3 linked regions of the Mus musculus genome follow. The protein of the gene in region 3 interacts with the protein of the main gene of each other region in a biochemical or structural test. Links are inferred from orthologs where the notes say so. Each region holds a gene or a part of one and is shown on either strand. Other genes may lie near its edges.

Evidence for each region.
Region 1: the proteins of Tmed10 (region 3) and Copz1 form a complex in vitro, tested with the Homo sapiens proteins (2 studies listed by BioGRID, with this or other methods). The link is inferred for Mus musculus from reciprocal best matches to the Homo sapiens genes TMED10 and COPZ1.
Region 2: the proteins of Tmed10 (region 3) and Copg1 form a complex in vitro, tested with the Homo sapiens proteins (2 studies listed by BioGRID). The link is inferred for Mus musculus from reciprocal best matches to the Homo sapiens genes TMED10 and COPG1.

Annotation. Positions count from the first base shown.
Region 1 is NC_000081.6:103,293,353-103,297,002, reverse strand, and holds part of Copz1 (coatomer subunit zeta-1), read right to left. Parts: intron 2,282-3,650; coding exon 2,226-2,281; intron 471-2,225; coding exon 393-470; intron 270-392; coding exon 218-269; intron 1-217. UniProt on the Homo sapiens protein: The coatomer is a cytosolic protein complex that binds to dilysine motifs and reversibly associates with Golgi non-clathrin-coated vesicles, which further mediate biosynthetic protein transport from the ER, via the Golgi up to the trans Golgi network.
Region 2 is NC_000072.6:87,908,312-87,911,961, reverse strand, and holds part of Copg1 (coatomer subunit gamma-1), read right to left. Parts: intron 3,427-3,650; coding exon 3,329-3,426; intron 2,299-3,328; coding exon 2,160-2,298; intron 1,923-2,159; coding exon 1,824-1,922; intron 1-1,823. UniProt on the Homo sapiens protein: The coatomer is a cytosolic protein complex that binds to dilysine motifs and reversibly associates with Golgi non-clathrin-coated vesicles, which further mediate biosynthetic protein transport from the ER, via the Golgi up to the trans Golgi network.
Region 3 is NC_000078.6:85,340,043-85,343,796, forward strand, and holds the end of Tmed10 (transmembrane emp24 domain-containing protein 10 precursor), read right to left. Parts: intron 3,508-3,754; coding exon 3,386-3,507; 3' UTR 572-3,385; downstream 1-571. UniProt on the Homo sapiens protein: Cargo receptor involved in protein vesicular trafficking and quality control in the endoplasmic reticulum (ER) and Golgi.

The sequences.
Region 1 (3,650 bases), on a different chromosome or scaffold from region 3:
AAAGACCATATAATATGCTAGGTGCCACGTTAGAAACATAAGTGAGCTCCTCTGCTTCTCTGGGACATGGAGATGTAGAAGCCGGGAGAATGATACATTCGTGTGAAGAGGACAGGAGAAGGTGGGACCTATGTATAAGCTGACCCTCAGCTACACCCACCCAGCAAGCCTGGCTTGGGAGGATCCGTGGAGAGATGGGATACACATCCCTGCTTACCCTCAAAGCCACCCGGTGCACCACTTGCTGGGGGTCGCTCTCTAGGATCACCCTACAAACACAAAGAAGACGGTTGTTTGCTCCAAGGGACCAATTTGCTGTAAGTCAGGTTCACTAGCTGAGGGGCAGCCACCTCCCCTCCCCACTCCAAATACGGGCAGGGCAGAGAACTCACCCTCCATCTACAATTTCATCCACAGCCAAGAAGAGGCCCTCCATGTTCTCCAGCAAAGCTCGCTTTTCTACATTTTTCCTGAATCCCCAAAAGAAGAGGAAAAATTAGGTTGTGTGAGAAAGGAATTCTGGGATACTGTCTAAATAAGGGATCCTAACCCTAACCAGTAACTGCCTCCACCACCCACATGTAGAAGGGAGTGAGGTGAAAAAGAGCCTTTTATACCACTGAACAGTGACCAGAGTCTTGACATTCTGGGGGGGATCCCAAACAGCTAACTTCTGACTCCTAGGCTACTTATCCAGCATGCTGCTGCTGCTGCTGCTGGTGGAGGTGCTTGTAAAAAGACATAGAAGATAGGAAAAAAATTCATAGCTCATAATCTGGAGTTGGTGATGGTGGAAAGGTGGGAGGAGTGGGAATGCAAAACCCTCTGCGTTCAAGCTCCTTCTGAAGTCTCTCTGCCTCTCCCCTCCCCCCAGGTCTGTTCAAACCCTAAAACAAAGGCCAAGGAGGGGCTGGGAACAGCCAGGGGCTGCATCTACCAGCCTCAGATCCGGTGGTTGGTGCATGTGGCCTGTCACATCCGTCAGTATGACTCTTTCTCTAGATTACCCGAAATGAAGTCTATTCATTCACCTGGCTGGGAAATAAATCACCCCCTTCCTGAGGAAACCTGAGCCTCTGGCTGCTGGGTTGTGGGCTGAGAGCACCCGCTGTTCTACTCCACATGGATTTCTAAAATGTGTTCACTTTTAGGAGCTGCTGTGGCTGAAGTTCAGAGCCTTGAATGTTTTCAGAGAAAGTATCTTATATCTTCCCTTGCTTGTGTGCGTGGGAACAGAGGGCTACTGGGGAGGTAGAGGGCAAAGAGCACAGTGGGCCCATTCTGTGTCCAGGGAAAGACTATAAGGGCTAGCAATGGAAAATTGTGGTGTTTCCTCCTTTTCCAAGATAGGGAAGTTTCACCTGGGTCACTGGGTCACTTCCCTGGCCTTCCCCTCCTTCAAACCCAGCGGACAGGCCTAGGAAAGCATCTGGGGCTCAGAACACCATCAGAGTTACTGGACATGACAAGAGTAGGTACAGGCATACAGACGAGGTCCGAGTCTGTACTCCAAACTACTCTTGAAGCTGAAGCAGGGGTTACATGTTCAAGGGTTGCCTGGGTTACAAATAGAATCTTAAGACAGCCTGGGTAAATTTTTATTTGTGTATCAAAGACTCTAAGGTTAAAAGTTGATGTCAAGACACAAAAAGGCTTGAAAAGCTATAGATAATCAACCTCTCGATTATTTTAGAGCATCTGATATGCTCTGCTCCCAACTGAATCTTAAGCATGATGTGTTCTGGTGACAGGATTACGGTTCCTTTACATTAGTTTTCAGAATCAATCTTTCTTTCTTTCTTTCTTTCTTTCTTTCTTTCTTTCTTTCTTTCTTTCTTTCCTTCTTTCTTTCTTTCTTTCTTTTTTTTTTCCCCCTAGGACCTTGTCTTAAATTAAAAGAAAAATAAAATAAAGAAAAAGTTTAGGTGAGAAGCTCAGTGGTAGAACAGTTGCCTACCCTTGGTTCTAATCATCAGGGCAGCCAAAGGAAACAGAGAATAGAGTATTCTTCCTGAAGGACTCTCTTTCCTCCCTCAGTAAGAGAATGATTCCACATGAAGACCATTCTCTCCACCTAACCCTCCACTCAAATTAGTTATCCACAAACAGCAAGTCTATGTCTTACACTGAACCAATTCCCCAGTGTGGCTCAGATTTCCCACTAATCCCGGGCTCTAAGGAATAGGTATTTCCCTTCCAAATTTAAAATGAGAATGGCTGCTCACCTCAGCATCTGGCTCAGGGAATCGAAGAGGCAGTTCAGAACAGCCATAAGCATCAGCTGTTGAGAAAGGAGAAGGAAGGTTCAAGGCCCTAAAACTGCTACCCCAAAACAGACCTTCCACTTTTTATTCCTCACCAAAAAGCATAAGCTTTCACAAACGGCCAGAGACATAATGTGAAGGGCAAACACAACAGCAGAAGGACTCTGGCTTCTCAAAGAAGTTAGTTCTACTAAGCAATTCCACAAGTAGAGGCTTCTTTTTTTTTTTTTTTTAAAGATTTATTTATTTATTTATTTATTTATTTATTTATTATATGTAAGTACACTGTAGCTGTCTTCAGACACTCCAGAAGAGGGGGTCAGATCTTGTTACGGATGGTTGTGAGCCACCATGTGGTTGCTGGGATTTGAACTCTGCACCTTCGGAAGAGCAGTCGGGTGCTCTAACCCACTGAGCCATCTCACCAGCCCTTCTTTTTTTTTTAATTAATTAATTTATTATATGTAAGTACACTGTAGTGTGTCTTCAGACACTCCAGAAGAGAGCATCAGATTTCGTTACGAATGGTTGTGAGCCAACATGTGGTTGCTGGGATTTGAACTCAGGACCTTTGGAAGAGCAGTCAGCGCTCTTAACCACTGAGCCATCTCATCAGCCCCCAAGTGGAGGCTTCTTTAAGGCAGAAACTGAAACAGGACTTTGCTGGTATAGTCCTCTATAGACGATTATAGCACTCTGTGTATTTACTTTTTATTAAAGATTTACTTTTCTCTCTGTGTGTTTTACATGCATGCGCACAGGAGTGCCCATGGATTCCAGAAGAGAGCACTGGATCTCCTTGGAGCAGGAGTTACAAAGAGTATGAGCTGCCCAGCATGGGTGCTAGCAACCAAACTCAAGTACTCAGAAAGAACAGCAAGCATTCTTAACACTAAGCAATAGTTCCACCTGTGTTTTGCTTTTTTGAGGTAGTCTGTCACATAGCCCCCGTTGGTCTTGAACCACCTACGTAACTGAGGTCAATCCTAAATTCCTGATGATTATCCTGCCTATACTTCCCAAGTGCTGGGATAATAGGAGTGCATTGCCATCCCTCTCTGCCTCTAAGTCTTTTTAATAATTATTTTATTTAATGTATATACATGTCTGTCTAAAACTATGTGTGTATACCACATGTGTGCAGTACCCAAAGAGGCCAGAAGAAGGCACCAGAATCCCTGGGATTGGAGTGATAAAGACAGTCATGAGCTCCTGTGTAGGTGTTGGGAATCTCCCAGGTCCTCTGGAAGAGCAGCCAATGCTCTTAACAGCTGCCCTATCTCTTCAGCCCCTACCCCTACGCCTTTACCAAACTGCCTGATGGAAACAACTGGAAAAAAAAAAAAAAAAAAAAAAAAAAAGCTGCCTGATGGATTAGTAAAGAGA
Region 2 (3,650 bases), on a different chromosome or scaffold from region 3:
ATCACTAACTATACATCACCTGAGCCTCCTGCCAGGCTCAAGTGAACGCTCGGGTATGTAAGGCTTATACCTCATATTAGAGGCTCACAGACAGTGGCTGAATCTGAGAGTGTGGATGAGGGGGCGAGCCCTATAAGAAAAAAACCACAAAGCAGTTGTCTGACAGACCCAGGGGACTGAGTTGCTTCATCAAGGCCAGAGTGCTCTGCTGAGCACTCACTGAAGCAGAACGCCTTCCCAACCATGTTTGTAAACACACCCAGCCCCCAACTCCCAAAATAACTATCCCCACCCACCCACACACACACAAAACCTATCCAAGGCTCGGTGTGTCTCAACAACAGACTGCTTGCTTTGCCTAGCCTTGCCTTGTCTGACCATCAGCCCTGCGGAGGGATAAAAGTCAGGTGTGGTGGGTTACTGAAGGCCGAGGCAAGAGAATTACAAGTTCAAGGAATTAGGGTTATACATGAAGATTGTGCTGCAGAAATCTGCCTAGCCTTAATCACTGAGTTTCATTCTCAGCTCCATTTCCACAAATGTCTAGGGCAATATAAGCTTTGGCCATTTTTGAGCTAAACACAGGATAGCAAGTATTTATATATGAATTACAAAATAAGTTGCATGAAAATACTCTAGGGAAGAGTGGGCGCAGGTGCTTCAAGAATTAAGCAGTAGTGTTCATTATATGTACCATTTAATTTTGTATGTGTTGGGAAATTTCCAAGATGAAATGTAGACAGCCATTTTTTTTAACTTATTTTTTAAAAACGTTTATGTAGGTGTTTTGCATGCATGTATGTCTGTGTTGTGGATGGCACTGGGGCTAATTGTATTTGATGTTAATTCTGTTCTCCTGTGAGTGGCTGTGAACAAGGAATGAGTCAGCACTCAGGTGATTTCCTGTAAACCTGCTTCCCACCTTAATTTATAAATAAAGGCTAGAGACGGTGATTGGGCAGAGAAAGAGGGGCAGGTGAAGCTGAAGGTTTTGATGGAAAAGAGAGGAAGAGGGGGAGGGGAGGGGAGAGGATGAGGAGGAGGATGGAGAAGTAAGGTAGAGCGGAAGCACCTGGCCTTGAGAAACTGCAAGTTACAAGGGGTTCCTTCTACGGGGAAGATGCTAGTGTAGTGGTAGATCTGCCCAAACTAGGCGCACAGCATGTATTCAAATGAACTGAGTTGTGTTTTCATTACCTGGGCTTATTAGGGTTGGAAATTTACTGCAACATGTCTGTGTGAAGGTGTTGGATCCAGGGGAATTGGAATTACAGACAGTTGTCAACTATGGGTACTGGGAATTTTGTTTTGCTTTGCTTAGGTTTTTCTGGAAACTGTCTCAATATGTAGCCCTTGGCTTTAACTTACACAAAAGTTCCTGTCTCTGTCTCTCAAATGCTGAAATTATGGAGTGAGTTACCAGGCCAGGCCCCACACCCACTCTTCTAATAAAGTAAACAAAAAACAACAACAAAATAACCCCAATAAAGTTGATACTTAGATAAAGGAACATCAGACAAGTCACTGAAAAAGAAATATGAATAGAAGACACTTCATTCAAAATGCAAAAACTACCTTAAAAGTGCATCGGGGGCTGGGGAGATGGCATTTGGATCCTCAGCCTTAGACCACAGACCTACTGCTTTCAGATGACCAGAGCCACCATGCCACACCCTTTGCAGCCAATCCCATAGGATAAAGGACAAGGCCTAGCCAGGACTATGAGAGCACACAGGTGTTGCTGTGGGGGAAGTTGGATGGCGGCAGACAAAACCCAGTGGCACTCCCACCGTGAAGCTACTCAGGCCACAGACGTTTCTTACCAGCTAGCAGCAGCGTGTGGGTGTTCTTGTTTTCTGGCACTTTGTCTGACCTCTCACAAGGATGCATTCCCAGGAACTTCACAATATTGCCCACAGCCTCTGTAGGGAAAATCCCAGCAACATTAAGCCACAGGCATATGAGTATTTGTGTGCTTTTGTTGGGTGCTAGTGAAATCCTGGGCCTAACACATTAAGTATGCACTTCCCACCCCCACCCACCTCCCCCCAGTCAGTCCCAAGCTAGGTATCCCTTAAGGCTCTGGATTCTTGGTGGGAAGCGGGAAGGCACACTGGCCAGCCACAGTATCGTCAGAGATGACGTCAGCAGCACTTTACCTTCGAGTGTCTTGATAGTAGACAGGGTGAACGTTTCCTCCTTCTCAAATTCATCCCCAACCTCATCCCAGGCTGCCTCAAAGTTCACTTTCATGACTTTTTGGATGTGATCAGCCACAGTAACTTCCAGATCCTCCAGCTAGAGAAGCGGAGACACAGTTAGACTTTGGGAGAGACTTCCTGTTCCACATTTCTAGACCTCTGCTCTCAACTCCTCTCCTTCCCCCTTCCTTCCTGCAGCTCACTCAGCAGATACCTGCCACTGTGGGGACATGGTGGGCTTCAGGACACAGAGCAAGCCCGAGGTACACAATGTAAGTGGCACTGCTTCAACCGACAAGTCATTTCTCCAGCAGATTCTGTACTTCAACTGTGTCCTCCAGGCCCAAAATAGGCGGAACCCTATTGTCATCTCAGCTGTGAATGTGACATAACACTCCCATTCAGCCAGCCTGCACTAGCAGCGTCCATGCAAGGACTCCTTTGTTCATTCTTCCAACAGATCTTCACAGAAACCTGTTCTTGCAGATGTTTACAGGGCATACAGCAACCAGTGAAAGGCGCGCCCTAGCTATAGCTCCTGAGAGGAGAGGTCTTAAGGCAGTTCCTGCCTCAGTCATTTTGGCTCAGGAATGGCCGTCTCTACTTTGGTCCTTATTCTACACAAGTGTGAATGTCAGATGCATGCTAGTGACTAAGGAACTGTGGCCCAGCAGAGCAAAGGGGCCTAGCTATCTAGAAAGCAACATTACAAGAGCAATTCACGTCTTAAAAATCTTGCTTTCCTTTTGAGCCAATTAAAGAATTATCCTAAGAAAATAATCAGAAATGTGCTGGGCATGGAAGTGCGTGCCTTTAATACCAGAACTCAGGAGGCAAAGGCAGGCACATCTTCAAAGTGAGTCCAGGACAGCCAGGGTTCTGTTATACAGAAAAACCCTGTCTCGAATCGCCCCACCCACAAAAAAAAAAAAATCAGAAATGTATTTGTAAAAATCTGTACATGTCTGTGAACCAAAATCATGCAGCACCTGTAGAGGCCCAAAATTGGCATCAGATCCACTAGAACTGAAGTTATAGACAGTTCATTACTATGAGGGTGCTAGGAATTGAACTTGGTCCTCTTAACTGCTGATGCATCTCTTCAGTCCCAGACAGGATCCTCTTACCACATACTCATCCTCATAGCCTTCTTCATCGATTTCTCCTGTGTTGGGATCACAGTCCTTAACAGTGAACTTCATCACACAGCTGAACGTGCATGCCACTGTGGGGAAGAAGGGTTGGATGAAGATCAGGTGGCCATGACCTGCCCTTCAGGCAGCATTAATAACGGCTAACGTGCTATCAACCCCAGCATGCTGGGCAAAGAAGGCACCACCTTATAAAATAGGAATATCAAGTCACAGATCCAAAGAAAAGACCAAGGAAACAGAGACAATGCAGTGTGGCTGAGACCATGCCACAGCTGTAGAACACTGTCCAAGGTGG
Region 3 (3,754 bases):
GGTGGGGATTGTTTTAGGTGATACAGCTAGTTAGGAGGAACTTGAGAGGCAAACCCTGCAGTCTGGCCCCAGAATTAGGAAAGGGCAGGGCGTGATGAAACTAAGGTTATGGGACTGGCGCCATTACACTTGTTGGGCAGAAGCAGGAAGTACACTTTGTATGTTGTACAGTTTGGTGTTTCCTGTGGACAGTGGGAAACTAAAGCAAAGGAGTAGGTGATTAGGGCTCTGTTTTGTGTGTGTGTGTGTGTGTGTGTGTGTGTGTGTGTGTGTGTGTGTGTGCCGATTGAATTCAAGTTGCCTGATTTGCATGGCAAAACCTTTATCCACAGAGCCATCTTACTGGCTCTCAAAGCTCTAGCCTTCTGAGGAAATCTGCTCAAGATTTCTTTCATTAGCATAATGATTAAAACATCCTTTTGCTTAAGTGCCCTGCAGTAAATCAGTGACTTTTTTTTTCTTTAATTTATCTGTTTTCACTCCCTGTGCTTTAAAAAACAACAATTATAGAGGAATCCTTGCTCACCCAGACAAAGGGGCACTAAAGATTAACAGACAAATACACCTCAAATGGTTTCTGCTAGCTTTTATTTGTGAAAGTTTACACAAACATCTCCAACAGGTGAGCCTGTATAAATCCCACATGCCTCTTCCCATTAACAAACAGAAGATGGCTCTGATGGGGGTTCATGACAATGGTAAGGAACAAGGTTTGTTGAAACTGTATGATTCTCAGTTATTTTGACTATGCTGGAACGGAGGGAAGCAGATAATATACCTGTTTATAAAGCGGATATGCTGTTGTGCACGCCTACTGTCAAAGGCAAATGCTCTTCAACTGAACTGAAAAGCATGTTGTCCAGTTTGGTTGTTTTGGGCATGATCAAAATGATCGAAAGGACTTGAAAGAATTTCAGTTCTACAGAGCTTAAGTTTATACTTGTTCTTGGAAACAAAAACATGGACAGAATGCTCTATTTTCTCCTCTCTGAAAAATTGACATTTTTCAGAAAAGAAAATAGAAATCTAATAGAGCGGCTGTCACTGCTCCTTAGGGGGGAAGGCACACGTCAGAAAACAGGAGTCTCTTGTTAGGCTAATGGGACAGACAGGCTATGGTTTTGCACTTAAAAGTCTACAAATGGATTTTGACCCCAAAGTTTATTCTTTTCATACTTACATTGTTCTCCTATCACTTGATATATGAATGTTACAGATTTCTGACCATCTGCTGTTGCCATGGTGAGGACTTGTATTCTAAGATCTTAGATCTTAGATCATTTTTCAACAGCAGATGGCACTATTGTACCAGAGAACACTTGATGCCATGCAAGAGGAATTTATGGAAGTCATAAGACAAAGGCTTTTGAGTTCATAGTAACTGGAACCTTAACAGCACAGCCTGAGACTTAACCACTACATCTTTCCCATCCACCTGCATACTTCATCCAGGTCATCCTAACGGTATTCTCTGGTAACTTCAATATTCCACTTCTTTACTGCAAGCCCTGTAATTCTCAGAACTGCAATTGAGATAAGCCCTGTAACAGGTCAGCAGGGTTAAAAGGTTACCCACTTTCCCAGGAGAAGTGGGAAAGACTTTAGATGATAAACAAGTATTTTTCCTGTTTACAAGCATTTGTACCCACCCCACCCCCGCCCCCGCCACTGGCAATCAGGCCCAGAGCCTTCTGTATGGTAGGTAGGCACTGTAAACTGGGGTACACTTTCCAGAACTGCCTTGAGGTACCTAAAACTTCCACCGAATGAACCTTGGCTTTGATTTTACAACATATATATTTCAAGTATTTACTATCTGTGACTTTCCCAGATGTCCAAGTTAAACCCCGTATATCCACATCTCAGAGATAACACTGAAGAACAGGAGTTAGATCAGTGATTGACCATACATGAAGGGCTGGTAAAATTTACTTATTTTTCCTGGTAGAAGTTATATGAAAAGTTCAAGCAACAACCCATTTGATAGAGGAACCCACACAGAACTCAACAGTGAAGTGAACAAATGACCCACATAGAAATGGGCAAAAGCCACCAACGGACATCTCACTGACAAGGACAGACAGATGGCAAACGACAAGAATGAGAAAGGATGCTCAACGCCATCTGCCATTAGGAAAATGCAAATTAAAACCATAATGAGATATTACAGGCATCCACTCAAGGGGAGAAGTTAAAATAGCAATGATAAAGACCACAGAGAATGTAGAGCTGTAACCTGCCATACAGCCACTCTAGACAGAGCAGGGAGGCTTCCTTTAGAACTCCATGTGCTTCCTACACAGCACAGCAACGGCCCTCTTAGGTATTTATCCCGGAGTGATGAAAACTTACATTCACCTAAGAACTTTAATAGTTAGGCCCAATCCCCAGGCCACCCACATGACCTTTAAGCACAATGCAGTACCATCCATAGCCTGGAGGAAAACCAGGATGTGCACCGCCTTGGAGAGGCACCTCATGGGAATTATGCTGAGTGGAGAAAGCCAACCTCCAAAGGTTACACTCTAGATGACCCATTTACATAACAGAGTTAGAGTTCAGAACAGGGCAGCAGATTAGGGAGCCAGAGCGGGGGGGGGGTGGGGGGGGGGGTGGAGAAGGGAGTGGCTAGCTGCAACACTGCAAATGAAGACCATGGGATGGAACTACTCTACCTGGAAATGATCGACAGGATCTACAAGTGATAAACTGGACAGAACTAAACACACATACACAAGGACTTCAAGCAGTTGAGCACAAACATTTTAATGGTCTAAAATGAGATTTTTTTAAGAGATTATCTACAGTTCAAAGCTCACCTTTTAATGTGTCCCACCCATGACCCTTTTAGGAGACATAAAATTATGAAGGATATCACCAGAAGCTATGTAAACATTTCATCTAAGGACCAAGAGAAGTTCAAGGTGTTTTCACAAGGAAACCAAAGAGACAACTGATATGAAAGAGCTGACCGCAGTCAGAGAAATCTTGGGAGGAGAACTAGAGTGAAGGACAAGGCGATGAGCAGGTGGGAGAGAAAAAGCAAACAGCTCAAACAGATCCTGTGAGGCGGGCGACCCAGGACGAAGGCTGGCTTTGGCGTTATCTAGGTAACCCCGGTTTGTTGTTTTGTTTTATTTTGTTTTCTTTCCATAGGCGACTTTAATAATCTTGTTGCAAAACCAGTCCAAATCCTACTGCATTAAAGTCCTCATTGACTTGTTGGGTATAGGTGGTGCCCATGTGCTCTCATACCAAAAGTATCAGTTCTGGCAAGAAAGCTCAGCTGTGCCTTGATGGTACTGTTAGTAGAATGGCCTTGGGCTAGGCCAGGCATGTCCCAGCGATGTTCTGCTGGCTCTAGGGGACAGAACACTGAGCCTCATTACTCTATCAACTTCTTGGCCTTGAAGAAGCGACGCAGGTAGAAGACCTGCCAGGTGGCTAGTCCAATGAGGCAGAACATGGAAAAGATGCTGAAGTACAGGACCCGGGTGTTCGTGGACTCTAAAGAAACAAAACAATGCAAAAACACTGTAAATGGAATGAAGTTAAGTTGCTTCAGTTTGGCTAAACAATGGCTAGGGCGTAAAGACAATTAGTTAGCCTCATTCTGTCCATAGGTCTCAGAGTTCAAACAATTAAAGCAAGCAAGCAAAAGTGAGTATGGTAACACACCTGTGATCTCAGCACTTGAGAGGCTAAGACAGGAGAATCCTGAATTCCAGGCCAGCCTGGGCTACATAGCAAGATC